4 linked regions of the Rhinolophus ferrumequinum genome follow. The protein of the gene in region 1 purifies or fractionates together with the protein of each later gene. This does not show direct contact. Links are inferred from orthologs where the notes say so. Each region holds a gene or a part of one and is shown in the gene's direction. Other genes may lie near its edges. The genes, in order: RAB7A, VDAC1, ARL8B and PLEKHM1.

The links.
Region 2: the proteins of RAB7A (region 1) and VDAC1 purify together in Homo sapiens (affinity purification with mass spectrometry; 3 studies listed by BioGRID and IntAct, with this or other methods). This does not show direct contact. The link is inferred for Rhinolophus ferrumequinum from reciprocal best matches to the Homo sapiens genes RAB7A and VDAC1.
Region 3: the proteins of RAB7A (region 1) and ARL8B purify together in Homo sapiens (affinity purification with mass spectrometry; 4 studies listed by BioGRID and IntAct, with this or other methods). This does not show direct contact. The link is inferred for Rhinolophus ferrumequinum from reciprocal best matches to the Homo sapiens genes RAB7A and ARL8B.
Region 4: the proteins of RAB7A (region 1) and PLEKHM1 purify together in Homo sapiens (affinity purification with western blotting; 5 studies listed by BioGRID and IntAct, with this or other methods). This does not show direct contact. The link is inferred for Rhinolophus ferrumequinum from reciprocal best matches to the Homo sapiens genes RAB7A and PLEKHM1.

What each region holds. Positions count from the first base shown.
Region 1 is NC_046302.1:580,176-587,288, reverse strand, and holds the start of RAB7A (ras-related protein Rab-7a), read left to right. Parts: upstream 1-4,113; 5' UTR 4,114-4,338; intron 4,339-7,113.
Region 2 is NC_046307.1:10,067,127-10,074,362, reverse strand, and holds the start of VDAC1 (voltage-dependent anion-selective channel protein 1), read left to right. Parts: upstream 1-4,226; 5' UTR 4,227-4,342; intron 4,343-4,427; exon of another isoform or gene 4,428-4,564; intron 4,565-7,236. UniProt on the Homo sapiens protein: Non-selective voltage-gated ion channel that mediates the transport of anions and cations through the mitochondrion outer membrane and plasma membrane.
Region 3 is NC_046300.1:5,006,787-5,013,998, forward strand, and holds the start of ARL8B (ADP-ribosylation factor-like protein 8B), read left to right. Parts: upstream 1-4,194; 5' UTR 4,195-4,410; coding exon 4,411-4,533; intron 4,534-7,212. UniProt on the Homo sapiens protein: Small GTPase which cycles between active GTP-bound and inactive GDP-bound states.
Region 4 is NC_046304.1:40,195,047-40,203,045, reverse strand, and holds the start of PLEKHM1 (pleckstrin homology domain-containing family M member 1), read left to right. Parts: upstream 1-4,992; 5' UTR 4,993-5,090; intron 5,091-7,606; exon of another isoform or gene 7,607-7,739; intron 7,740-7,999. UniProt on the Homo sapiens protein: Acts as a multivalent adapter protein that regulates Rab7-dependent and HOPS complex-dependent fusion events in the endolysosomal system and couples autophagic and the endocytic trafficking pathways.

The sequences.
Region 1 (7,113 bases):
CTAGAAACATATGCTTTTTGGTAAATATATTTTATAATTTTTTAGAATCATGTATTTTCTTAATAGAGTATAAGGCATTTTTTACGAATAGACCCACACATTTTTATTTTTCTGTATTAAGAAGCCCAAAGTAGGTAAACTTAGATTCCCTTAACAATTAATGTTTCAGTGTTTCATCATACTTGGAAATAGATCTAGATATTCAATCATTTTTATCTTTTAATTTATTAATTCCCAAAAAAATATATTTACATTACTCATAAAAATTTTATGAGACATTAAACAGAGCCACTTGTTATAACTATCTTCCTGTTGACAAACCCTATAACAGAGATAATATGAACTTTTTTTATAAACCTAGATAAAAATAAAATATTAGATGTTAATAAATTTAAAGACATGTCTGTTTTCATTAAACTAAACAAGTTAGTTTCAATATTAAATATAGTTTCAGATCATGTGATCCTGAAAAATATGTGGGTTAGTTTCTGTTATGCTTCTTAATCTACATAAGTGCTTAATTTCTTTAAGCCATTTAAACAGAGCTCTTATATAAACTAATTTTAATAATTTCATCAGAGGTAGATATGAGTATACATACACATATATGAGGTCTGACAATTAAGTTTGCGAACTCATCCTAGAAAAAGTGCTACACACCTCATTGCTGAGTATCACTATGGTCACCTTCGAAGTACTCCCCTTGGGAAGCTATGCACTGATGCCAGCGCCTAGTCCACCCTTCAAAGCAATTTTGGAATTCCTTTTTCTGGAATGGCCATTAGAGCTGTCATTGTATTACCCTTGATGTCCTGAATATCATCAAAATATCTTCCTTTCAATATTTCCTTTATCTTCGGGTAAAGATAGAAGTCATTAGGGGCCAGATCAGGTGAGTAGGGAGGGTGTTCCAATACAGTTATTTGTTTACTGGCTGAAAACTCCCTCACAGACAGTGCCGTGTGAGCTGGTACATTGTCGTGATGCAAGAGCCATGAATTGTTGGCAAAAAGTTCAGGTTGTCTAACTTTTACATGCAGACGTTTCAGCACTTCCAAATAGTAAACTTGGTTAACTGTCCAGTTGGTACAAATTAGTAATGAATAATGCCTCTGATATCAAAAAAGTTAGCAACATCATCGCAACAAGTTCGCAAACTTAATTGTCAGACCTCCTGTAGACAGAGACATACAGAGACCTGATAGTTCAATCTAAAAAATTTAGCCATGAGACAGGTTTATAAGGCTAAAGAGAAAAAGCCATTAATTTATAACAGTAGGAATAAGTTAAGTTTATTGATCAGGTGGCTAAGGCTTTAAGATTTTCATCTCTCTTTGATAAACAAGTTTTAAGGAGACTGTGGGCAGGGCAGGGGTCTGCTTGGGAAAGGGAACCTTTCAGCAACTTGTATTTTTAAAAAGAGCTTTCTTTTCCAATTTTTTCTGTCTTTTTTGGGGTTAGTTGAGGCAGCTCAGGGTTGTGTTTACATTTTTGGTTATCTACTTCTACTTCCTATCAGACTTTTACTTAAAATTTCTAGGTATAGAGAGTAATCATCCATCAGGGGAAGTCATGTAGATCGGGCGATAAGGAGGGATATGTGGCAACAGCTGAAGGAGCATTTGATGGGCTTTGAAGAGAAGATGGTTTAAGGAATTTTGAAAGTAAGGGAGGGACGTTGCTTACACACGCCTTATCTTCTAATTTCTGGAGGTATTAAGTTTAGAATTATTTTCTTGGAGGGAGGCAATGGTTTTCTTCTGCTTTTGAGGCCTCAAAATACCAATTAAAGAAAGCCTCTCATTTTCTTTGGCGGTTTTGAAAACCTTGGCATTTGAATTGAGATCTCAAATAAGCTAATTTGGAAATTTCAAAGGTACCCCATTTTGGCCAAAAAATGTTTAAAATTGTCCCGTGTAATTGTTGTCCAGAGATTAAACCATTTCCAGCTATCAGGACGACAAATTTTTTTTAACATAAATCTTGTAGGGTTGCTGGATGGCGGCTAGCCAGCAGAGGTCATTTTAGAACTAGAATTATTTACTATGTGAAGGCGTCCCTACCAGCATAACTTGAGAAGATTTTTATCTAATATTTTACGGGTAACTCAGACTCTTGTGACCCCTATGGGGGCACCTCGTCCCTCTATGAAAAGCCTTATAAAGGGGTCCTTCCCTTAAGAATAAAACTGTCAGAATAAAACTCTCAGATCTCAACCAAAAGCATAGGGGGATGGAGGATTTGAGAGGACTCACCCATGCATGCTTCCCCACAGTGGGGGAAGGCAACTTGAGCTCAAAGAGCTTTGAAGGCAAGCGTAATGTAGTGAGTTCCACAACAAAGGGAGATTAGGGAGCTGCTTCAAATCCCATCTTCATCACCATTCATGTAAACAAAGTCCAGAGATACCTTTTTCCAAATAAATTTAGTTTATTCAGATAATGACTTGTAAACCAGGAAACATAGCTCTTGATGTGAACCAAGAATACATTCCAAAATGGAGGGGATAGGGCAGGGTTTATAAAGGCAAAAGTTGCAAGCTGTTGATCAAAGAAATGGGTTCTAGGGGAAACAAGACCATAAACTTACATATGTTTTCTGATTGATGGGGGCAACTGGACATTCATTCAATGGTTGGCTGACTCAGTGATCAAGTAAGTGGGGTTGTGAGGTGAGAACAATAGGTAATATGTGGTTAATCATTTATCGAGTCCTCGTTTCAGCCCAGGCCTGTAGAACAAAAAGGGTGTCTTTGATCACACATTGTATGGATGAAAAATGCGGTTCTATGAAAAGTAACCTCAAGGGTGATCTGATTATAAATTCCCTGTTGGGCAGGTCATGAGGGGTAGTCATACCCCAGGCCTATATGTTCTTTATTGAAAGGTTTTAAGCCAGCCCTGTCCATTGTTCTTGTGCATCTAGGTTAACACACCTTTTAATGCCAAAAGAATACCCCTTAAAGGGGGTATTAATTCTCAAGAGAGCTTGTAATCTTGTTAACTATCCTGCAATCCAATCCTCAATATGCTTTCTGCAGTCTTCCCTACGTCCCCTCCTTAATTTCAAATGCATAAAAGAAGTTGCAAAAATGTTATTTTCCAGAGCATTTTAGATCTTGCTCCCTGGCATATGTAGTTAGGCTCAAATAAACTTTCATAAAAATTCTCTACAGGTTTGGATATTCTTACGTTGACAATAGTACAGGGAGTATTATTCATCTGATAGCTACAGCAGTACAATCAATTGATACAGGAGTACAATCAAACAATACAATCAACACAAGGGGGCTGTTGGCTCTGCAGGCCCATCTGGAGCCCAGAAGGGCAACGTTATGCCCTGCAAGCAGCTTCAGAGCTCAAGCTGTAAAAATCCAAATATTGCGCCACAAATTATGAAATTAATATTCTTATATTCTTAAATCCTCGCTTTTCTGCAAGAGAAAGTGTTCTGTTAATGTGTAATTCTCCTGTGTCTCTACCACCTTGCTAGATCATTGGTGCAGTCATTTCCAGTTTACTAGAAAGATCAAACACATTGGTATCAGACATATTTGGTTCACATCCCTGCTTTACCGCTTAGTGTGAGCTAGGTCCAAGGTTACCTGTGCTGGGTCTCAGTTCTCTATTTCCAAAATGGTTAAAATAGAGACAATCCAAAGGTGTAGTATGGGTGCACAATAGGTGCTCAGTAAATATGGATGCCCTTCCTCTCCCTCTGTAAATTTGTGAAATAACTACTGCCTTGTCTCCCTGGGAAAACCCCCTTCCTAGAGCAAACTTTGTTGATGCTGAAATGTTCGGCACACAGGCCTACTTGGTTGACTGATCAGTGTCTCCTGGAAAGTGACACTAATGGAAGGTTCAATTTATCCTCTCTTTTCTTCCCCTAGCACTCTTATTCCAGGGGAAAGGGGGATGACTGAAACATCGGTTTTGGGGTTCAACATAGCGCCGTCCTGCTCCTTGCACGAGACTCAAAGATGGCGACAACCTTCCGGGGGCAGACATATTTGTAGCACGTGATCCAGGCTCAGGCCAAAGGAGGCCGAACGTGACGCGGGGTTAAGGCGGGGCTCCTCCCCCGCACCCTTGGCGTGTAGCGACTCGTGACAGGTACTTCCGCTCGGGGTCGCGGCGGTGGCGGAAGTGGGAGCGGAGTCAGATTCTTGGCCGTAAAGCCTGAGGCGGCGGCTGCGGCGGCGTTGGAGGTTTAGAGAGCGCCGAGCAGGCCTTTCAAACCGGAACTTGGACTTCTCTGCGCCTGTCCTCCCTTGCGTCTCCTCGGCGGGAGCCCTTGTGACGCGCCCAGCCCGGAGCCCCCAGCGGAGCGGCAGCGGTAAGCAGCGGGCCCAGCCTGGCGTGTGGCCCAGCCCCATCCCCCTCCTCAGCCCCTCGGTCGCCAGGGCTTCGCGTCATCCCTTTCTTGGGTAGGCTCTGGGCCCAGCCCCGACCTCGCGGGGAATGTCCTTGTTGCTAAGGGCCCAGGAGCAGGCCCGGACCGCTCCTGGCCGGGGAGAGGTCAGAGGTTGCCGAAACCGGCCACCCGGGAAGGTGTCCTGACTTGGGTGGCCGCTGGGCACTGCGGACCCTGTGCTGCGGCGAAAAGAGCTAGCCGGTTGAGTTCGTTCGAGCGGCGAAGTGGAGGATGTCAAAGCCGACCCCCCGGTGCCGTGTCTGGCGGTGGACGCGATCCAGGCGCCACCAACCGCGCGGGCATTGGTAAAAGGCGCCCAGGGCTGAGCCACGTTCCCATCTGTTTCTTCAGTTGAACAGCCTGACCCTGTTAGTGAGAGAGGTTTCCTGACAGCAACTAAATCAAGGCAGTGAGTCAGGTCACGTGCACTGGGCTCGCTTCAAACACTTGTATACATGTGATACGCCTTAGGCTCTGGGAGACGGGGAACTTTTTATCATAAACTTGTTAATGGCAAATGCTGAAAGAAATTTTAAAATTATATTGTGGGAAAGGTGGTGGTTGACTGTAGAGCTGTGTTTGAATTCCAACCGTCTCTTACTCCATACTGATTCCAAAAAGTGGGAAAATCGAGAACAATAATAGCAAACATTTGAGCCTTATTGTATGCTGGACAGCCTGGCAAGACCTTTGCACAAGTTGTTATGTTTAATTCTCAGAACAACCTTCATAAAACTTTAGTACATAGGTGTCCAGCCAGTTGGTTCTTTCCTGTTGAAAATACTGTATTTTCTCTTTAGATTTCAATAGAACAGGCTCTTGTCTCTTCCTTAAGCAACTGATTTAGTCAAATGACTTCTCATCCATGGATCAATAAAATCTATTAGTGTGTTTATCTTTTCAGACTTGGGAGAATTTGTTCAGGTTTAAGTCCAAGAACTGGAAAGTGAGATTGTGAGTACTTCTGAAGACACTGGCCAAAGAGTAAAGCTTAATACTCGCAGCCCTATTATATTCTACTTTTTGTTTTAACTTTGCCACCCAGCTTGTTATATTTAAGTGGGTGATAAGTATGGTAGCTTTAAATAATATTTGGTTTTAGGGGAGAGTAATGATGAGCACCTTTTCATTCATTCATCAAATGTTTTTAGAGTACTGTTCTTCCCCGAAAATAAGACCTAGCCAGACCATCAGCTCTAATGGGTCTTTTGGAGCAAAAATTAATATAAGACCCGGTCTTATTTTAATATAATAATTAATATTAAATTAATATTAATACTAAAATAAGATCGGGTATAATATGTAATACCGAGTCTTATATAATATAATATATAATGCTGGGTCTTGTATTAGTTTTTTTTTTTTTTTTTTTTTTTTGCGTGTTGATTTTTTTTTTTTTTAAATTTATTGGGGTGACAATTGTTATTAAAATTACATAGATTTCAGGTGTGCAATTCTATATCACATCATGTATAAATTACATTGTGTGTTCACCACCCAGTGTATTAGTTTTTACTCCAAAAGAAGCATAAGAGCTGATGGTCCGGCTAGGTCTTATTTTCGGGGAAACACGGTATCAGGCATTGCTGGATATTGACTCAGGGAGAAAGGCATTTTTCCTGTCCTCAAGGAATTTAAAGATGGTGAGTGATCATGGTCTGGAATTGTGTGGTGGAATGGTGGTAGAACTTGAGGCTTTTGGAAAGAGGAGTTGTTTCTCATTTCTCATCCCTGCAAGTGAATCTGCAGTTATCCAGACAGTCTGGTGTTCTGGCTAACTTGAAGGCTTTGTTACTTTTAACAACGTTTATATGGTTTGTTTTTGAAGAGAGTATGGAAAATAATATTACGTTTTGAACTATCATTCTTTTGAAGAGTAACCTTCGACACTAAACTTATTTCTCTTTTTGGTCTGGTGGCATTTTTTGTTCATGCAAGAGGGAGTTCATGTCACTGCCATTTTACACTGCAAATGTTAGCTGTTGCATGCTCTTTGTGCAAAGGTACATTTGGCATGCTGGATTTTTCTTCTTCAGCTGATGAAGAAAGTTTAACGTAGTGCCTATCAGTCATAGTACCAGTATCATCCTAGGTAAAACCTTATGCCATCTATGTGCCACAACTGTTATGGCTCCCTTTCTTTAAAAGGGGATGTGAGTTTGCATTTGTGGTAGAACTGCATGAGTAAACAAACAGAAGGGTGGAGTGTAGCAGAAGGCATTCAAAAAAACAGGTTTTTTAGTATATCCTTCCAGGTACTTGTTAGCAACCACTTGGTACAAATTTTTTTTTTTTTTTTGGGTGCCAACCGGGCATAAGTCCCAGCCTCATAATCAAAGGGCATTGCTTTATAGTCAAGTGTGGCATTGAATCCAGTTCCTGACCCCACAGTCAAGTGCATTAAAAAGGTTTTGGTTATTTGATTAGCTTTTAATAAATCTCCGAAGAGATCTGCACTAATAATATTTTCACCCTTACATTAGACGTTAGCCTTCTGATGCAAAGGTGTAGCAAACCCAGACCACACATCTATGACAGTCATCTTATGTACTGTTCCTCTCTGAAATTTGACATGTTTACCATTATTCCTGGGATAAATTGTCTTCACTCTCCGTCTATATAATTCAACACATATGGCTAAGAAGGATTTGACCAGATATTGGGCTGGGAGTTACAGATGCAAAGTCTTCCATGGAA
Region 2 (7,236 bases), on another chromosome or scaffold:
CCACCTGGACAATCCAGGTTAATTTCTCCATTTCAAGATCCTTTACACAGGGGGCCAGTCCCGTGGCTCAGGTGGTTGGAGCTCTGTGCTCCTAACGCGGAAGGCTGCTGGTTCGATTCCCACATGGGCCAGGGGGTTCTCAACCACAAGGTTGCCAGTTCAACTCCTCGACTCCCGCAAGGGATGGTGGGCAGAGCCCCCTGCAACTAAGATTGAACACAGCACCTTGAGCTGAGCTGCCGCTGAGCTCCCGGATGACTCAGTGGGTTGGAGTGCATCCTCTCAACCACAGGGTTGCCGGTTTGACTCTTCGACTCCCGCAAGGGATGGTGGGCTGCTCCCCCTGCAACTAACAACGGCAAGTGGAACTGGAGCTGAGCTGCGCCCTCCACAACTAAGACTGAAAGGACAACAACTTGAAGCTGAACGGCACCCTCCACAACTAAGATTGAGGGGACGGCAACTTGACTTGGAAAAAGTCCTGGAAGTACACACTGTTCCCCAATAAAGTCCTGTTCCCCTTCCTCAATAAAATCTTAAAAAAAAAAAAAAAGATCCTTCATATAATCACATTTATTAAGTTCCTTTTGACATGCAAAGTAACATATTTATAAGTTTGGGTGATTAGGACATGGGTATCTATGGGAAGTCATTATTCTGTCTACCATGGTTTGTCTCTCTCATTTTTAATGTTGTGGTTGCATTAATACTAAATATATGGTTGCCCTCAGTTAGCATTGTAACAGAAATATTTCCCCACAGGAAGTCTTTGTAACCTTCTTTCCTCAAGGCTCTGAATCTATAGAGGGGATGTGCTTCAGTTTGCTGAAGCTGGAAACCAGGCTATGTTCCATTCTGGGCTGCTATACATCTGCCTGAAGCTAGGCTGGGATTATTGCCATAGCATAGGTTCCCAGAAACAGTCAGAGGGAGTAGGTTTTAGGTTTTGATTCTTATTACATGTCACCTAAGTGCTTTCCAGGATTGTGTCAGTTTACACAGCCTCTCCTGATCAACCTCGTTTGGCTTTCTTAAAAATTTCTCTCTTTTTATAGTAAAGGTATTGTATCATTAATAGAATGGGAAATATAGAAAGGGCCAAAGGAAAAAAATCATAGTCTCCTAAATTGAAACACAATTTTCTCTAACACTTAATGCATTTCTTTCCACTTTTCTCTCTCTCTCTCTGTAAAAACATGGATATGATATTAGAACTCCTTGGAACTATTTTAGATCTAGGACACCTCATATTTTGGGGTACGCAAGAGAAATATTTTTATTATGCTCATCTTGGGATGGTTTTCATCCTGTTTTCCCAGCTGACTACTGCTCTCCATGTCAGTCAGAACCTGGAGGCCAGGCTAGGTCCTTCCCTGGAAGATGAGTGTCAGGGCACAATGTGGAGAGTACACCCTGAGATTCTTGACCACACATCCTCAAGCCTAGCTCCTACCTAGACTATAGTCTGGAATATGGTTAGAAAGGTTAGGTTTTATGACAATTCAGTTTTATATTCTAATTCATTCATGCTGGTTACAAGCAGAATATTTTTCTCTTTAAAAATTATATATATTACATCTTCCATTTCTACTTTCATAGACCTTATCTTTCTGTTCTGATTACTTGGCAAAGACGGTATTAAGAAATCTTATTGAGGTACATCTGGCCCTGAAAAGAAGTGTGGAAAGTGTTTCAACATAGGTTCTTTGTAAATATCTATATACCTATATAGTAGAAACGTTATGCCTGTAAGCTAGATATAAGAATTTCCCTAGAATGAAATATTCTTACACCAGTCAACCATTCCAGCATTAAAAAGAAAAATCTCATCTTCTCTGGATGTTGAAGGGAGGAGTGGAACTGAATTAGGTAGGACCTGGAAGAAAACCTAATCCAAACAGGACTAAGTAAAAAGGAATTTGTCAGCCCAGATAGCACAGAGGGTGGTGTGAGGCCTGGCTAGGTCCAGGACATGTTGTCCCCAGGACCTGGTGTCTCTCTTTTGTGGGCCGAGTTCATTTTTAAAGTATTTACCTCAATAGCCCCAGGAAGTCTGACTGGGTCTCACTGGTCCATCCCTGTGGCCAGGGGAGTACAGTGTATTGATTGGCCAGGGTGAGTCACAGGGCTACCTCAAGAATGGCCCTGGAGTCAGCTGCATGAGGATTGTGTACTGAGAGGAGAAAGGTCATTCCTCCAAAGAAAAACTGTTACACCTTACCTGGGTTTCTTACTTCAAATTTACGAGAGAGGACCTGATTGGCTGGTCTCAGGTCAGGTGTCCATCCCTGGCCCAATCAGCAGTGGCAGCCAGAGTGGAGGTGGGGCTGGGGTCGGTAAGCCTGGTATGACAAATTGCCTTGGCTCAGCTCTTCCCTCAGGACTACAGTGGTGAGAGGTCAACACTAGGGTCTGAGGGCTTCTATGTCCCAGTTGATTTCTTCACCGTTTTCTGAGTGCTTACTTGTTACATAATCCATTTTAAACTCACAACAACCCCCTGAAGTTGAAGCTGAGAGGTTAGGCCCACAGTGCAGGGTCACACAGCCAGTAAGTGACCCAAAGGGTGCTCAGGTGATTAATCTGAAAGCGGCAGGTAGGGGAGTCCCAGAAGGGACCCAGAGCAGGTGGGGCATGGGGAACTCTCCTCAGGTTGCGGGTCCTGGAAGGGGGATTGGCAGGGAGGTGCTGGTAGAGGGGAGGGAGCAGCTTGGACATTTGGTCTAAGCAGCACATTTGGGCTTCCCTGACCCAAGGTGTGGCACCTGCTCCTAGATCATGTGAGATTTCCAGAATCCCCTCTCTCGACAGAACCACCTGGTCCTGCCCTACTTCCCGAGGCCTGTCCTCCCAAACTGCCTCATTGCACTTGTGGGTGACTTTGTGACTTTCCCTGCCTGACCCTGTCCAAAAGTGGGCTGGGGCCTTTGTGTGTGGGGTGGGGACAGCCAGGTTGGGAAGCCCTGAGTTCCCAGTCAGCCATGGAGAACCTTATGGTCCTGGGGAGAGTTCTAGCATAGGTCCTCTACTCTCCAGGGCCTCGAGGGGTTCAGGGGCAACTCCTCACATGTTCAATCAGACCTGAGCCCCCTACAGAGCCCAGGGCCCCCTGTCAGCACCCCTTCCCCCTCTTAAGCTCCCTTCTTCAACAGCTGCCTCCATTGGAACACCAGTTGCCACTTGCTCATTTAAGTTTGCCGACTCTTTCCAGCAGCCGGTCTGATTGCTTCTTGGGACGCCCCAGAAGCGTGCCTACTCCTTTAACTTGTGCCACAGCTGGTTGTGAGCGAGTGTTCTCTCTGTAGTCCGGAGTACGGGGCCCTAGACGCCTCAAGACTTGAAGAAAATTGGCTGAAGGCGAAGGCTGTGCAGAATCTTCACGCCACGAATTCCTTAATTCTTGAAGGCGGCTTGGGGAAGTCGGCTTGGGATGGCCCTCGCGTGGGATGCCGTTGACACTCAGTGGTGATGGAGACCACCCGCGTAGGCCTAGCGGGGTGACTCTAGGCGCTTTATCCGAGCTCAGCGAGGAGGCAGGGCCCGGGTGGACGCGGTTCCGGGTTCCCCAAGAGGCCATGGGCTGGTTGTAACCTGTGGTACCTCCCGAGCACCATGAGACCCAGCAGATGTTCTTGCAAAACGCAATTTGCTTTTTTCACTTCTCAAACGCTCCGAAAATGACTGCTAGCAGCTTCGCTACCGGGGAAAACTGCTAATTTGGACTGCAAACTTGGCGCACAGGGGTTTTCTGGGCGCTGCCCCCTGGCACCGCAGGGCTCTACGAGCCGGGCCCGGCGTAGAGAAGGGTCCGCGGCGCCGGAAACAATGTGTCGGGAGCGAAGAAGTAACAGTCGTGGCCGCTACTCTGTATCTGCGCTGCCCGGGCGCCTGATCCCCAATCGGGGCCTGGGAGCCCGATTTAAAGCCCCGCGCTGGCTTTGCTCTGGGGTACCCGCGGTCACCTCGTCCACCCAGGCTGGGTCCGGGTCCAGCGCCACCCGCCAGCCACATCAGCTCCTGGGGGAGAGGGGTTGTCTCCCAAACGCAAGGCCGAGCACGAGGTCCAGGACCCCGCGTGTCTGCGTTAGCTCAGAGGATCCCTGGCCGACGCTCCGTTAACCGGAACAGCCCCCCGCCCCCCCATCCCGGATGCGTCAACCCGGCGGGATTTCCAGCAGAGACTGGCGGGCGCCGGCGGCCGGCACGCGTGTTCCTGCGCACGCACACACCGCGCGCACGTCAGCCCCGCCGCCCCGGGCCCGGGCGCACGCGGGCCCTCACGCAAGCCCGCGCACGCCCGTGGGCTCTGGCGTCCGCAGCGGGCACTGAGGGGCGCAGAAAGGTGCGTGCGGGGCTCAGGACCCGGACCGGGACCCGGCGTGGGCCTGGGTGGTGTCCGGGGCGGGCCCCGGGGCGGAGCTCGCCGGGCGGGACGCGCAGGGTCGGGGCGGGTCCGCGCCGCCGCCGTCCGCGCCGCTCCGCCCTCGGCCCCGCTGCTCTCCCAGTTCCCAGCGCTGCAGCCCCCTCCGCGGCCGCCGCCGAGCCCATCGCCACCGCCTCCGAGGTAGGCGCAGCCGAAGGGCCCTGGCTCTGCCTGCGCCCCGGGCTGTGCGCCTCGTCCCTGGGGAGTCGGGGAGGAGATGGGGGACGGACCGGCGAGGGCCGGGGAGGGAGCGGGAGCGGCCCGCGGGCCTGGCGGGTCAGTGGCTGCAGAGCAGGCCGCGCGGGCGGGTGGCGAGCGGGCCGGGGTTGGGGAGCGAGAGGCCGGGCATCCGGAGGTGCCTGCGGCTTGGGGCCAGAGCCCGCGGGGACTTAGGGCGGAGGGACACGGGCCGCCGCGTGGAGGCCCGGCCGGCTGCAGGTCTAGGTGACCTTTCCCGGCGGCGCCCTCTGGCCCTCGATGCCGCCAAGCGCGGGTCGGGCAGGGACCTGTTTGTTACCCAAGCTCGCGGGGCCGGGCCCACGGACGTATGCAGGTCGCGCTGTTGCCGCGGGGCGACCGTGGCGACCATGGCCCGGCGCCCCCAGTCCCTCACGCCCTGTCCGGCCTACGCCCGGAGAAGCTGGCGCCGGACACTGTCCGCGCGTGCCAGCGCCTTCGGGGCGGAACGGGAGGCGGAGAATTGACTTAGGCCGCGGGGTCTGGGGCTGGGCCCTGGGCAGAAGGTTAGGCCTAGGAAAAGGAGGCCCCGCGGAGCGATGTGGCCGGTCTCTCGGCCTAAGCAGGGGTTCCTGGTTCCGGCGCTCATTCATTACCCAAATGAGGCGGTGCATTCTCGAAACTGGTTCACCGCTTTCGATTTGAGGCCCGCAGCCCAAGTGACTTGTCCAAGGTCACACAGCTGGGAGGATACCACACCTCAGTTTTCCCATCTATAGGTTGGGAGCAATTATACCTCTCCTTCGTTGGGTTTTTGGGAATAAAATGAGTTGATGGACAAGAAGCCTTCAGAACAGTGCCTGGCAAGGAGAAAGCCTCGGTAGAAGCCTTGACAAGCCTTTTTGGGGAGACTGGTTTGCTCCACGTGGTGTTCTGGAAAAGATTCAAAAAACACTGCCCCTGATATTTTACATATTAGGTAATATTAAGCATTTGTGTGCTAGGCATTGAGTAACTTTCATGATAATTCATGAAAAATCCCTGAAGTTTACAGACAGGATCCAGGTGGAACTGGAAGTCGAATGTGGGTGCAGAGGTAGGCCTGTTCCACCTGAGGCCCCTATCCTCTTGACTACCCTCTCCAGAGGAGATGGGGAAATGGGCTCCTTTGCCTAATATGCTGTTGGCAAGGCCAAGGTAGACTGCCCAGGGCCTACCTTCTTTCTGTCCACCTTAGCTGTAGACTGAGTTTCTACACCCTCAGGCATAAGCCCTATGTGGCTTTGTTTTTGGTGCCTGTGGTGCTACCTGGCACACAGTAGGTACTTAAGAAGGGTCTGTGGGGTACATGCACTTTGCTTTTTATCTAGGAGTTGACTCAAGCTTATGGACAACATAGCTTTTGCTGTTCCAACATGTGGCTTATAGTAGTTGCTCATTAAGGATTTGTGGAGTTATTGAATGGGCGTGTGGAGCGACTGCAGGACCAGACCATAGCGCCTTGATCCTGGACATCCTTTTGGAGGGACACATGCATCTCACTCACTTCCAGGAAGTAGCCTTGCCTAGCAGAGAGTCACACATAGTCAGGTTGCCAGGGTTTATACAGCCCTAGAGCAGTGAGAGGCGAAACTTCCCTCATTTGAAATAACTCCTTCAAAGGCGTTACCTTCATTCTGTGACTTTCCAAGTCCTGTGGGAAACTTGTTGAACTAGTGTTTCTGGGTTTGCAGGGCGGGTGACACGGGTGGCTGGGATGCTCCTAAAGGCCTTGGGCTGTCAACTCGTCCCTCGTACGGTGAATGGGCCACGGGCTTCTGCTGGAGTTGACCTGAATGAAGTGCTTGACCCTGGGGCCAGGGGCTGCTCTCAGTTGATTAGTTTTATTTCTGCTCTTCTAAAGCGATAGGCAGGGCTCTTGATAGACACAGACATGGGCTCACGGGGCCCGTGAGCTTCTGGTCCGGCGGGACTCTAGGCGGATGTGGACGACCACTGCGTAGTTGGTGTTGACAAGGCACATTCACCCCCACCTTCCCTGGTCAGATGCCCCCTAGGTGCTGAAGTCCACGGTGCCCTGGATGGCGTTGCTCTCACAGTGTGATAGCTTTGATGGTAGAGACTGAGAGGTATGTGTGTGGCTGAGGGCCAGCAAGCCTGCAAGCAGCCCCTCAGGGCTCACAGGGCCTGTGACTCGTCTGGTAGCCCCTGAAGAAAGGTGAGCAGTGGGGTCCTCAGCTGGGCCTGGGCACAATGCTCCCATTTCCTGCTTGCTCTCAGGAGGGTGAGGGTGAGTGGGAATCTAAGCGCTTTACCCAGACTGTACTGGAAAGAGTCCTGGAGAGCAGATGGAGCTTGCAACACAGCCGTAGGGTCTAGTACAGATCTAGTCACTGTCCTGTGCCTCAGTTTCTCCAGTATGAAAGTGTCATCATCATCACAGTCACTGTTTATTGAATGCACGCTCAGCACCCTCCTGGGGGCTTGACATATGTTCTGTGACATTGAATCCATCATCGTACGAGCCCTGGGAGAGAGTGACTGTTGCTTCCATTTCATGGTTCAGAAGGCTTGAGCACAGAGAGGTGAGGTAAGCATCCAAGGTCACACAGCTCAGCAGCAGTGGAGCTGGGGTT
Region 3 (7,212 bases), on another chromosome or scaffold:
TTAGACACTTTTCTCCACTGTCAAATGGCCATGTGGATGTTTCTGAGCTCCACTGATGACTCTTAGGTTGTGTGTGTGTGTGTGTGTGTGTGTGTGTGTGTGTGTGTGTGTCAGTCATTCGATGTTTCTTTGTTTCTTTTAAATATATAAAATCATGGACTATTGAAGGTGAAAAAGTTATCTCGGGGATGAATAGTCAGAACCCAGGGGATTTTTAAGGCCTGCTGTATGGCCTATTCTGTATGATACAGTAAGGGTAGATACATGACATCATGCACTTGTCCAAACCCATAGCATGTACAACACAAAAATAAACAGTAACGTAAACTGTAGCCTTTAGTTAATAATAACGTAGCAATGTTGGTTCATGAATTGGAACAAATGGAACAAAGATAATTTGAGAAGCTGTGAGAGGGAAAGAGGGTTATATCTGCTTACTTTCCCATAAAACTTAAACTCCCCTAAAAAAAAAAAAAGGCTATTCAAAAAGAGAATGATTTCCTTTCCCATGCTGGAATCCACTCCTGAACATTTCAGTCAAGCTGCTATGAAATCATAAGATTTCAGAGATAAGAGGTTCTTAACACCAAGGTTGTGGCTTTGATTCCCCCAGAGATAAGAGGTTCTTAAATTTTATCTTATCCAAACCCTTATTTTCTAGATAGGGAAACCAAAGCCCAGAGAGGGGAAGTGACTTGCCCAGGATCACACAGCTATTTCATTTTTAAAGCCAGGATATGAACTTTTTATTCAAGATAAGGGTTTTCCTTCCTGGCAGTGCTCTTGACACTCCCACACACTGCAGTTAATATTTGTTTTCTACCTTCAAAAGAATGTTTAGTTTCTTAAATTTTTCTTAAAAGTCCTTAATTTTTTTTAAAAAAATGGGATTGACTATCTCAGTTTTAGAATAAAGAGGCATGTTCCTTCTAAAGAGAACTCCCTAACTAGCCTTGCTTCTCTTTTCCTGAGGCCAACACTCTCCTTCCAAAAGACAGAACTGACATTCTGCCCCTTGCAGATGTGGGCGGGTCATCTGTATGACCTGGAGTGACATCCATGGCTAATGAAAAATTCCGGCCCCGTGACTGACTTGGCCAAAATGCAGAAGTGTCTCGTGGGTAAGGCCCAGGTGCTGGCATTTTAAGATGCTAGGAGGCTGATAATCAGGCCAGTGGGAACTTACGGAATGTGTCACACCCATTTTATTCCTTGTCCAAAAATGAAGCTAGCAAAACAAGTGCCTACGAGGTGAGATTTCAGGATCCCCAGACTGACCGACTCGTTTACTCAAAATAAGTTTATTGCCAAGTAGAAATGGCCCCTGTCCTTAAGGAGATTACACTTAAAATCAGGTTCCTAATTGGGATATTTCCTTCTCTGGGCCTCAGTTTTCTGATAGCTAAATGAGAATGGTCTTCCAGGATGCGTCCAGCTCCGATGCCATGAAATTTTATCTTTCTTGCACAGCCGTCATACAGCAAAATTAGTAGTAAAATCACGAGAAAATGAGGAGTTTTGAGTATTGCCTTTAATAAAACATCTTTACAAGTTAAGTAAAGAAGGAAGCTGTAGAATAATTCCTACAACATATTCTTATTTTGGTATATATGCAAAAATTCCCCACCCCATGTATGTGCATGTGTTTATTTGATCAAAAAAGAGTAAACTATTAAAATGGGTTACTTCAGAGATGAATATTGAGGGTGCCAAGAGATGGATGACCTTTTTCTTATCACACCTCTGTCCTGTTTGAATTTCTACAACCATCATATTGCGTGCTTTTATGATAAAAAAATAAATTTTAAAGTTTTTAAAGTGGGAAACTAGAATCTGGAGGTGAGAAGTCACTTTCCATTAACTAATGATTTTAGAGGTGAAGGCAATTACAGTGAGTGTAAAGGCTGAGGAATATTCCATTTCTCACTTTGCACTTAGCTCGTTTAGTTGTTTACTCATTAATTGTCGAAGTGCTTACAAAGTCGAGGTCCCAGATTCCATCATCCTTTAAAGCGATACAATAGCCTCCTCACCTATCACTGTCTCTGCTCATTCCCTCTGTATGAATTTGCTAGAGCTGCCGTAACAAAGGACCACAAGTGGGTGGCTTAAAACCACAGACAAGCACGACTGGGTTGACTCCGGGGGCACGGTGAGGAGGGACATGAGGCTGAACTGGGTCCTGACAGTACTGTCCATCTGCCTGAGCGCCCTGGCGACAGCCGCGGGGGCCGAGGACAAAAGGAAGCTGCAGATCGGGGTCAAGAAGCGATCAAATCGCGCAAGGGGGATGTCCTGCACATGCACTACACGGGGAAGCTGGAAGATGGGAAGGAGTTTGACAGCAGCCTGCCCCAGAAACAGCCCTTTGTCTTCTCCCTGGGCACGGGCCAGGTCATCAAGGGCTGGGACCGGGGGCTGCTGGGGATGTGTGAGGGGGAAAAGCGGAAGCTGGTGATCCCATCAGAGCTGGGGTATGGAGAGCGGGGAGCCCCCCCAACGATTCCAGGTGGTGCAACCCTGGTGTTCGAGGTGGAACTGCTCAAAATCGAGCGACGTTCAGAACTGTAGCCAAGCTGGGGAGGGGCAGCGGAGAGGCCATCAGGGACCAGACTGTTTAAAAACAAAACAAAACAAAACAAAAAACTTAAAGCTAAAAACAAAAAAACCCACAGACATTTATTGTCTAGGGTTCTGGAGGCTAGAAGTCCAAGACCAAGGTGTCGGCAAGGTTGATTTTTTTGAGACTGTGAGAGAGTCTGTTCTATGCCTTGTCCCAGCTCCCGGTGGTTTGCTGGCACCTGCAATACTTCCATCTCTGCCTCTGTTGCCACATGGCCTTCTCCCCTCATGTCTGGGTCTCTTCTCCTCTTATAAGGACACCAGTGGACTAAGGACCCACCCTACTCCAGTATGACCATAACTGATAGCAATTGCCCAATTTCCAAACAAGATCCTGGGGTTAGGACTCCATCTCTTTTGGGGGAACACAGTTCAAACCTCAAAGCTTCCTAGCGTATTCCATGGAGCTGCCAGAGCGAACTTTTAAAAATATAAATTGGTTCAATCTCCTGGCTTCCCAGCACAGCATGGATAAAATCAATCTAGGGCCACTATGCCCTCCTTGATTCGGTGCCTGCCTCTTTCTTCATCCACATCCTGCCCACGCCCTGCCTTATTAATCTGAGCCAACCACACTGCTGTACTTCTATTTCTAGAGCATCCCATGCTCCTTCCCCCTCAGGGTCTTTGCTGTTCCTTCAGTCTGGAAGGTGATTCCACCAGGCGTGCACCTGACACTCTTTCTCACTTCTTCCCAAACCAGGACCACTCCCTCCCAGAGGTCTACTCTGACCCTAACTAGAGCAGAAGACACTCCTGTGTCCTATTGTTTGGTTCTCTTTATAAAGTTCAGTACTACTATATATATATATATATATGGAAATATTACATGTCTCCTCACTAGAATGTGAGCTCCATGAGGGCAGAGATTTTTTTTAAATCTGAAAACCTTGCAGATGTTTTTGTTTACTTTTCAATTAAATGAAACTTTTGAACAGGCAACTCATTTACATGGTTGCAAGTCAAAATGATATAAAAAGATATCTAGAGGAGTCTCATTCCCATTCCTGCCTCCAGCTATACAGGTTCCTCGACCCCCATAGGAAAACATTTTTATTAGTCTTCCAGTACACACATTTGCATATATTTACATATACATTCTTATTTTCCCAACTTACACCAAAAATATCATTATATACATAGTCTGCACTTTACATATATGTTTCTTGAAAGAATTTCCTGGACTTCATTACAAATCGGTTTATAAATCAGAGACCAGCCTCGTTGACATACTATACTTGATTTAATCAGCTCCCTATTGCTAAACACCTGGCTTTCCATCTTTGGCTATCACCAAAAATGTAGGGCAGGGATTTTTATGCTGAACGCCGCCCCCCTTCCCCGCCCCCGTCTCGAACTCCTTCTGCATAGAGTAGGCTGTCAATAAACAATTGTAGAAAGAATGAATGATGAATTCACTAACACATTTATGAGCGCAGGAGGGCGTGGTAGAAAAAAAGGCACCCAAGGCCGGCCCGCTGGTACGCGGTGCCGCGCGGAGATCCCACCAGGTGGCGCTGCAGGCGGCGGGCGAGCCTGGCCCGGCCGGCCTCGCCGCTCCTGCCGTGGGCGCCGACGGCGGCGCGTGGACGAGCGTGGGGGGAGGGCGAGTCATATGACCCGCTCGGCTTCCTGGCTCCGGCTGTCGCCGCCCGCCCGTGTCTGCCAGTGTCGCGCCGGGGCCCCGAGGAGCCGTTAGGGGGTCCGGGCCGAGGCCCGCTCGTGTGGAAGCCGCCGCCGCCGCCCGCCCGCCCGCCCGCGCGTCCGCCCTCCGACCCGGCCGCCATCATGCTGGCGCTCATCTCCCGCCTGCTGGACTGGTTCCGCTCGCTCTTCTGGAAGGAGGAGATGGAGCTGACGCTCGTGGGGCTGCAGTACTCGGGCAAGACCACCTTCGTCAATGTCATCGCGGTGAGGACCGCCCGCTCCCCGCCGGGGCTGTGGCCGCGACTCCGGCCCGAGGGGCGGGTTGGGGCCGCTGGGGCGCGACGGGGCCCCGGGGTGGGGGTGGGGGCAGCCGTGCCCGGACCTCCCCGACGGCCAGGATTTGGAGTTTCCCGCGTGTCGGTGGCTGAGGGGTGGCGCGGAGGTCGGCGGCCGGAGGGTTATGCCCACGTCGTCGTCTCCTTCCCGGGGCTGTGCCGTCGACGCGGCCGGGGCTCGGGAAGGGCGAACTGGGGCTCGTCGCGGTTCTGAAGCGCTTGGGGCGCTGGGGTTCCTCGGGTTTGCTCGGGGGCAGCCGAGGGTTGACTCCAGCCGGGGACTTGCCCGGAGCCCGTCGGTCCTGTGAGAAAGCGGGAGAATTCAGTCTCCCCCCAGACGCCCCTCGGGACGCAGGCCCCGTGCGGACCTTCCTGAGTTCTGTGCGCGGCTTGTGCCCTGTAACTCGGCGACGGGCTCCCGCTCGTTCCCACAGGGACGACACCGAGCGGGGGGGGGGGACTTCCGGCCGGTCCACAGCCGGGCCCGGCGTTCACGCCCGGCAGTTCGGGGTCCCTGCCCTTCCGGGGCTCGTGGTCGGGGCTGAAGCCGGGGGACTGGACGGGTCTGCCGTCCGCAGAGAGCGCACGGCCTTGGGAAGCGGCGGGTCGTTTGTGAGGGTCTCTCGTACTTGAAGGGACTGGGCAGGAGCAGAGCTTATTCCAGGCCCGGGAGGGGCGTCTGGGAGGGACGTTGCCCCGGGAACCCGCGCACAGCGTGGTGCTCCTCCAGGAGTGATTGAGGGGAAGGATGGTTATTAAGTTTTGCTTGTTTGTGGAAGGAATGAGAGCAAAACATGCAAAGAGTCTCGTCGGTCTTTATTTACAGCCCAGGAGCTGCGTGACTCAGTCTTAGCTGGTAGGGGCTTGAGCCGCTTTGGAACTGTTCTCAAGAGAGATGGCAGCGCTTCATCCACCGTGGAGATGAGGCTGGACTCTTATTTACTAGGAGACTAGCTGTCTAACTGGTTTGGTGACAGGCGTGATTCAAACACAGCTCCCTTATTGGAGAACATGTGTGACTTGTGACTCTTAGTCCTTGCAGTGATGGAGCAACAGGAATGAGTAAGACTTGGAGGGAAAGAGATTGAGCAGAAATCTAAATTGGAAGAATGTCGCACATAAGTATAAAGAAAATTTATCTACTTGTTTGGCTCTTTTTGTAGTATGATTTTATTTGGCTTGAGATGACTGCCTTTCAACAGGTGTAGTAGAGTGGAATGTGTATCTAATGCTGAAATTAAGGGAGAACTTTGGACTCAGTATCCATATTAGAATTTTTATAGGTTATGGAAAAGATCGCCTGAGTGCAGATGAGCTCAGTTAACTGTAAATTCTCTGATATTCCTTTGAAATAAGAATTGGAGTCTCCTTGTAAATCCTGTCCTTTTGACAAGACTGCATTAATTTATGGTGTAGATAGGTGCATTGCTACAATCAGTTACGTTTGTTGCAGAGAAGTAGTTATGCTTGGGAAACAAACAAAAGTGTGGTAAATCCCTGAGGAACTCAGAGCAGTGCAGCTTCATGTCATGAGCACCCTGGCTGTGCCATCTGGCTCTGCCACTTAGCAGCCTTCTATCCTCTTTCGGTCCTTCCTTTCTGGCGTGTTAATTGGAGATAATAGTATGTTTCTTACAGACTTGCTCTGAGGAGTAAATGAAATGACAGATGTGAAGTGACTGGTAGCATGGTGCCTGCCCATTAGAAGGGGCTAGGTAAATGGGAACTATTTGTAGTGGGTATGTATACTCCTTTAATGCAGTGTTTTGAAAAATACTGACAAGGGGATTAGCTGGGGTCATTTCTTCTTTAAATCTCTGTATACATCCAGATGTGGCCTCCATTACTGGATCTGTGGATTATAGCGAGTAACACGGCAACACACACCCTTTTTTTTCCCTTTGCATTAGATTACTTTTAACAACAAAACTTCTGGAAAGCCATTGAATTTAAAGTGAACCAGTGGTTCCACTATTATTTTAACGTGAGACTTTTTTCTTTTTTTTTTTAAATTTTAATGAGGTTGGGTAGCTTCCTTTAAGAAAAAATCTGAACTGTAGTTGCCTATTTGTTGACTAGGATGTTGGAAAAAAGAGACCACTAAATTTCATACTTTTTAAAATTCAGACTCTAACCTAATCTGTGATTCTCATAGAATATATTGAGGATGAGGAAAAGGTTAGTAATTAAAGGTGATTTTTGCAGATTTTTAGATAGAAACGGTGTGTCCAAAACAGTAAAGTTAGCATTATCTTTTTAAAAAATCAATAGTGCTACTCTTTGTATTTTGTATAAAATGTTTGTTTTATAGATTAAATACAGATGTGTTGAGCACTATGTGTCACTTTTATTAAAACTCAACAAGTAACTTCCCAGGTATGAAAGTTTCAGGTGAAGCCAATTTTCTTTTGGGAAAAATCAACTTTTGTAAACATCAAATTGTGGCTCTATCTTCTGTCTTAAAAGTTAAAAAAAAAATAACATGTTATTTAATTTACTCAAATGGTTTGTGAAGCTGATATATGTAACATTTGGACCATTCTTCAATTAAGCAGTTTACTTAAAGAGAGTTTCAGTCATAAAATTCATATTCTTATGGTTTTAAAAC
Region 4 (7,999 bases), on another chromosome or scaffold:
CAGCCCACTTCCAAGGTGGCTCACTGGCACGGCTGTCCAGGTGGTGCCCGTTGTTGGAGGGCGGCCTCAGTTCCTCCCCATATGGACCTGTCCACATGCTACTTGACTGAATGTCTTCACAACACAATGCTGGCCTTCCTCCAGAGGGAGCCATCTAAGAGACAGACACAGAGACACAAGTTACCCTTTTTGTGACCTAGCTCAGAAGCTACACAGCATCACTTCCGCTACACAACATGAATAGTTACCATAGCAGTCAGTCACTAAATCTAGCTCTCATGCAAGGGGAGGGGATTCAGGCCCCACCTTTTGAAGAAAAAAGAGTCAAAGAACTTGTGGACATATTTTAAAACCGCCACAGACAGGAAAAAAGAAACCACTCTAGATTATGTCCAGCAAAAAAATATATATATATTTTAAGATTTTATAGGTGCTTATCGTCGGAGGAACTAAGGTGCTGAAAGTTGGGGGTGGGCCAATTGCACCACTACCTTCGGGTTCCTTTGCCATAGCTGCTTTCCACAGATTCAAAGTCGCTGCTGCCACTCAGCAATCAGGAAACTTTGGGAAACCACTGCTGAGGCGATTGCAATGCCAAGGCTGCTGACAGGTGGGGAATGTGGAGTCCGATATGCAGCCTGCATGTCTGCTGCTACAGACCAGAAAAGGATGACTTCCACCTCCTTTCCACCTTCCAAGTTTCACACAAGTACTTTGCTTTGGCAGAACCCTGCTGTCAAGGGAATCTGTGAAATGTGCTTCCCGGCCATCTAGCATCTGCAGAGAAGGGGGAAGGAATGGGTGTCAAGAGCCAACCGACACTAGCCAGCATACCTCCATACACAGGTATGGTGAGGAGACGCACCTGTACTTGAAGGGGTCCTGGCGCCCTACTCCTTTTTTTGTAGGCTTATAGGTGTCCATGGCTTGGTAAAAGGTGGGTGGTGTCTACATGGAGTAACATGGTGGCGAGCTGGCTAAGTTGGAGACTTGGAAAGGTGTCATTCTAGCTGGGCAGCAGGTGAGATACTGAATGCTGACGGAATACAGCCATCTCCAGAGATGACCAGAGAAACACCTGGAGTTGATCCTTAGTTTGGTCTCTGGAATGTTCTCACTGAAGTGAAACAGTGGGTGGGCTGCAGGCAATATAGTGAGGGAGAAAATACAGCCCCCATTCAAAAGGGCTGCCAGAGAAAAGGTATCCATAGATAAATAGAATTTCTGAAGATGTGGTCTATGGACCTCAATACTCAACCATCCCTGGGATGCATATTGAAAAGGCTGATTTGGGGAAGGAAAGAAAGAAGGGAGGGAAGGAGAAAAGGCTAATCTTGGACACCTCCCCTTGTCAAAAAACAAACAAAGCCAGACACTACTTAAAGCGGTAAGGACAGATTTCAATCAGTCATGTACTACTGCACTAGTACAGGGGAAAGAGCCCATCGTGAATTTTGTACTCTAAAGGAAAATCACTTAAAGAGAGCCGCTAATGAATGCCACCGTCACCACTGAAATGCAGGCCTATGGGTGGAAAGTGTATTCGAGGGTAGTGATTCATGGTAAGTTGTTTCTTCCAGGCCCTAAAAGGGACTATTTAATGTCCAGCTAACCGGGCTTATTTTACTAGAAGACTGGGTCTTCTATAAGACTGGGTCTTCTATTAATTTTTGCTCCAAAAGATGCATTAGAGCTGATGTTTGGCTAGGTCTTACTTTTGGGGAAACAGGGTAGTTTTCCCAATTAATAGATAAAGGAAACTGAGAGGGTGGGAGGGGGAGAATAACTTGTGCAAGTTGACAAATTCCATATATTAGTCACCGCTCTTTATGTTCCAAGTGAAATATATCCAAGCAAAATATGCTTAAACCAAAAATGGCAGACAGTATATATCGTCTCATATAATATAACCAGGAAGCCTAAGACTTTAAAACTGGCTGCATCCAGGACTCAAACAACGGTATCCTCTTCCCATCTGTCCCTCGACTCTGCTTTCCTTTGTGATGGCTTCAGCGTCTGGAGGACTCATACCCCTTGGCTGCAAAGATGGTCATTAATAATTCCTATTCTACACCACTAACTGGAGAGCAAATCTCTTATTAGAGGAAAGCCCAGTTCTCAAAAGCTCTCTGATTGGCTTGCTTGGCCCATGTGTCTGAGGAAAGAAGACTCTGACTGGGCAGCCATAGTCACGTGCACATGCAGGGGTAGGGCCTCAAACCAGTACTTTCTTCCCATTTAATCACAGGTTGCAGAGGAGGCTGACCAAAAGTCAAGAGGGAGTTTCTATAACAAGCAGAGAAGGGATTGAGATGGCGAGTGGAGGATCAGAGACTGAAGATAGTTTGAACTAACGCTTAAGCCTAAACTCTTAACAGGTTTTCACAAGTTCATAGATGCTATTGTAAGTAAAATTCATTTCAAAGCGGTTGTGCCTTCATGGTAATTTTTTGTCCTTATGCATTTTCCCCCCAATTAATGGATAGTAAGGTATGACTACTGTCATGAGGAGGTCCAAAGACCATTTTGTTTTTTATTATAAGAAAGGGATTCTTAACTGAGGATGTGCTCCAGAGAGAAGAGAGAAAGCAAGAAGAGAAGGGAGCCAGGAAAAGGCCCAACCCAGGAAGCAGTGAGGGGACGTTCCAGGATGGCAGCTGCGTGACAGGCTGAGGAGGTTACTAGAACACACTGGAGAACAGAACCCAGAGAGAGGGCCCTGAGGGAAAAGGGAGGAGGACTGAGGGTGTGATCATGGCACACTGTACAGAAAGACAAGGCGAGGAAATTAACAATGAATGTAACAAAGTACATTATTAAACTTAGAAGTGAGCAATATTTACATAGTCACACATCTGTAAACACTATTAACTGACTGGAAATAGTAATAGTTAACTGAACGTTAAGAATGGACTGGGGGTTGAGGTTATAAAAGGACTAAGTCCTTGCTTATGTTACTAGGAATTCAGTAGACCAAATCTAAAATGGCTAAATCGAGACCTAGAAGTGCCTGAGACATAGAGATAAGCACCAGAAGATTCAGCTAAAAGCCTCCCCCCAGAAATAACCAGCCCCAATGAGCTGGCTGGAGAGGGCAGAAGGGTTGGTGCAAGGAACTGCCGTGGATCATTGTATTTTATCACCCCGTCATTTCATGTAGTACTATTTCAACTGTGAACTATGTATCCGGTACGTTTTCTTCGTTTTTCAGTTCATTATTTGTGATTTTTTTTGTCCAGCTTTATTGAGGTATAATTGACAGTAATAAAAACTCTTAAATCCATTTTTTAAAAGAGAGCGTGAGAAGAACCAGCCTCCTACAACAGAACCCAGAAGAACACCAGCTATTCCCGCAAGGACACAGATAGTTGCACTAATACTACTTGGACAAATCCAATCAGATGCCAAGTAAGGATATATCTGGGGCTCAAACAAAAAGGATGTCACTCCAGTGCTCAGAAGAGCACTTAAAACGCAGGGACCCAACTGGATAGGGAAGGTGAGAACTGCCAGAACTGTAATAATAGCCAGTCATTTTCCAGTGCTTACTACAGACCAAAAACTGCCCTAAGGCTATTACCTTATTAAGTCCTCGTGTCAACTGATATTCTTCCCCCAACTTACAGATGAGGAACTAGGGCTCAGAGAGCTTTGGGAAGTTCCCTGCAGTCACCCACTCGAGCCCCTCTGCCTGAGGCTAATGGGCCATGTGTGGTGTGACTTGACTTCTCTTTTCTGAACATCAGTAAAATTCAATTGAGAAGTTCCATCTTAAAGGCCATCTCAAGGGACCTGTGAGAAATACACTATGATACGGTAATACCGCCTTGTGAATGTATGATCTATGGAAAGATCCCTGTAGTTTTACCTGCTGATGCTGACTGTTGGAGAATAAATTTTGGATATTTTTCCCCAAAAAAATAAAAATAAATAAATAAATAAATAAATAAAAAAAAAAAAAAAAAGAAATACACTATGACAGTTGTCTTGGCCCCTCACTTGTTGGGTTGCCCTGGGCCCCCACTGTTAGGGAAGACTCAGAAAACAGCCGGGGATAGAGCTGGGATTCAAACCTAAGCCTTCCTGGCTCCAAAGGCGTCTTGCTTTCACTGAACTATTATGCCACCTCCCCAACTAGAATCAGAAAGAGCTGGGTGAGAATCCTGCTTCTAACCATTTATTAGTTGTGTGGCCTTGAGCCCCCAAGTTACTCAACTTCTCTCAAGCCTGTTTTCTTATCTGTGCTATGGGTGCAACAATGGCACCTCCCTTCCACAGGGTTGGTAAGGACAAAGCACAGTTCCTACCTGGCAAACAGTAGGAGCTTCTGTTTTCCACGAACGGTTAAATTCCTAACCATTTGTCGCCTAGGTTAGAGCGGGGGCCCTCATATTTCACCAAGTTTTTATTTCTAATCTTCCTGCTCTGCCATCGACGGTAGTGAAGGCACTCAGCATTCATCCAGGCTAAAACCGAGAAGGGGTGGTTATCACACCTGGAGGATTTCTGAAGGGGCAACAGCCCCCACACAGTGGGGGGCCACACACCAACAGCTGATTTTATACGTGGAAACAGGCACTGGGATCCCAGAAAGGCTGATGGAGCACAGGACCCCCCGCACCCCACCCCCACGCCACCCGCGGCAGAGATCAGTGGAGCTTCCAGGAACTGGCTTGTTCCCCAGCCAGCCCTGTAGCCACCCCGGACGCCCCCCTGGACCTACATCTAGTGGACCCTAAGGGAAGCGAGCAGTGAGGACGCATTCCGTCGGACGCCAGGGGCCACGCCTCTCCGGTAACAGGTGTAACGGATGTAATGCTCGTACCCTAACGGGGTCCCGAGCCTCCGAAGACCAAGCACCTGTTCGGGCGCTGCGAAGCCTGGGCAGCGGGAGCGCTGGCCCCGCCCCAGGGTTCCTTTGGGCTCCGCGATTGGCTCCGCGGGCCGGGGCGGGGCCGGAAACTGAGCCGACGTGATGGCGTCAGGCGCCGTGGGCGCCACTTCCTGTTGTCAGTAGGCTGGAGGCCGCCGTGGAGGATTTGGTGCTGCCCTGGCCGGGAGTACCTCGACCCTGCTCCCCGCTCCCCTTGGTGAGTTTGTCGTCGGGGGCGAGGAGGGGAGGCGGGGCCGGGACGCGAACGGGCGATGGGCCAGCAGCCTTCGCCGGATCCCAAACCCGTTTGCCTTGAGACTGTCCTGCTTCAGAGTCCTCACCCTTCCCAGCCCAAGCCCCTTGCCCCCACTGCCCACTCGGTTCCTGGCCTTCGTCTCGCACTGGCACCGCTGGCCCGTCGCTACATCTTCTCCCACCCATGACCTGACTCCAGCCCTTACCCCCACCCCCTCACCACCGGTCTTGCGTAAATGCAGCCTCACCTTTGACCCCACTCTAGCCAAGTTCCAACCTCCATCGGCCACATCCCCCCGCCTCCCTCTAACTCAGCTCATCCTCACCTCCCAACCCCTTTGGCAATCCTAATGCTCCACGCAAACCTCGAGACCCACCACTGTGGTTTGCCCTTTTTTGGATCAGCTTTCTTATCCCTATCTCCCATCACCCCCTGCTCAGCTCTCCATGGCCTGCTCATTGTAGACACCCCACCTCTACCCCACTCGCATTTAAGACCCAGCCAAAGTAGATGCCCTTTGGAGCGCACTCCTTTCTTGATAACTGTGCTCACAGCCCTGTCCCAGGTCTTACAAGTATGTATCTTCTTGTCCTCACAGACTCAACTCCTAACTTCCGGCCCATCATACACTTCTTTCCATCTCGAACCCCCCGAGAACCCTCATCACGTACGTCTTGCTAAACTGCCCCCAACTTTTGCTGCCCCAGTTCCTACCACCCTTACCCAATCTTATTTAAAGTGAGGTCTTTATGTCCTTTCACCTCTGCTGTCCCCACCTCTGACTCTTCACCCCAACTCGGCACCCATTCTCCCCTGACCAGTCTGCGTCAATCTGAGAACTTAATGCAGAGTCCCCCGTCAGCCCCACCAGCTGCCCTTCAACAGCCAAATCTCGCGGTCCTTGCTCAGAGCCAGGCAGATAGAGACTGAGCAGCCTTGACTGGCACGTGCAGGGCCTCAGATGGTAAGTAAGTGTGGAGGAGCAGAGATTCCCCTTGGGGCCGGGGATTTTCCTAGGTGTCTGGTCCTTGTGCCGAACCCCAGGGATTATGGTTCTAGCATTTGTATTTAGTTACTTGTGCTGGCTGCTGGAGTGACAGGTATCTTCCAAGTGCCTGGAAGGTGAGGAACGGCCACTCCTCCAGCTCAGTGAGCCTAGCGCCACAGAAGCCATCACTTACTTTTGGCTGGTGTTCCGGCCTTGCAGAAACTCAGGGAGTACCGCCGTGTGGGTTGGCGGTGGTCCCAGAACCGTGTCCATGTGTGTTGTCCTGGCACTTGTAGAGGACTTTCAGCCAGTGCTCCCCCCGCCAGAGCTGATAACAGATTAGTCCCCAAACTGAACACGGAATCCGGTGGCTGCCAGAGATGATGTACATGTTGTAAAGAGTAGAGCTGAGTGGTCCTGGGGAGGCTGAGGCCTCGCTGTGTATGGAGGATGTTGAATAGCTTCCTCTTTTTGCAGGGTCTGGATCATTGCGTTTTGGCCACCTTGGTTTCCTGTGAACACAGGGAGCCGAGTTATCTCAGAGTAGATGAGGCAGTGGGACATTCCAGAAGCATCCTGGCCCCATGCTCAGCATTTATCATCTGGGTTTATTGGGTGCACATTTCCTCAAAGTTCTGGTGACCTGTTCAGAGGGTTGCCCATTTGACAGCAAATTTAAAGGGCTCCAAACAGGACCATTGTGTTTGCTTGCTATTTATAGTCTTGTTCCTTTGAAAATTGAATGCCCTTCTACCTCCTATATCTCCCCATTAAGGTGTGATGTAGATGAATGTTTTTCAGCCTCTTGGCAATTTGATTTAATGGAAGGAGTTCCACAATGCCCCTTTCCCCCACTGAAGAGTTGTATACTTCAACTTTCCACAGTGTGTGAACAGGAGATACCTGCCCTGAGCCTTATTTTTATTTTATTCATCAGTTCATTCAGCAGGTATTTTTTTAGCACCCACCACTGTGTGCTATGTGCACTGTTCTAGTCACTAGAAGTGCAATGGTGATGAGTCGGGCAGAGTACGTGTTTTCAGTCATTCAGAGTTTGGCCCTTGCTAGAATCCTAAGGATATTGAACAAGAATATGGGGGGAGCGGTGTGTTAATTGGATAAAAGGAAAGAAGGAAGAAAAAAAGCTACCCAGTGTTAATCGACTTCACATTTCTTGCCTCACCCACTAGCCCTTGGTCTGGGAATCAAGCTAGAAGTTTCTCACCCTCCAGCTGATATTCAATTGCTTGAAAGGCAGTTCCCCCAGAACACCCCCTCCATCCCACCCCTCACTGCTCCAGAAATCCAGTATTCTTCAGGTAGAAGGGGTGTTGTTTACTCGTTCATCAGTCACATGGCTAAAAGATCAGCTGCCTTTCTGAATCAGAGAATAACTTTGTCATTCTTTCCAACTGAAAACCATGACTCATCAGTTGGTACAGCAGCTGGACGCCTTACACACCAGGCTGTTGTTCTGAACAGCCAGGTACAGGATTGGGTTTAGGCTGTAGAGAGGAGGCTGTGGGGACTGGCTGAGAAGTGCCTAAGAAGAGGTTACTGTTTACTGATGGCTGGAGTGTTTTGAAAGCAGTGAAGCCCGGTCATCCATTTCTTCTTTTAACGTAAGTCTCATATAATCTATTTTTCTCTTTCTTCCTTGGTCTCTGGAGGAAGTGAAATCGGACATATATTTAGAATGCTGGGCAGCATAATGAAGAAAAACAACCAGAACGATTCCTTCCTGTGTATTGGAACATTTAGGAAAGGACAACTCTGAAACTTGGGTACCATGGAAAGGACCTGGGCTCTGCTACTTGGGGCTACAGATCTGATTGGCAAAATTGTTTCGTGTTTATTTTAAGCCTGAGTTGATAAAATGGAG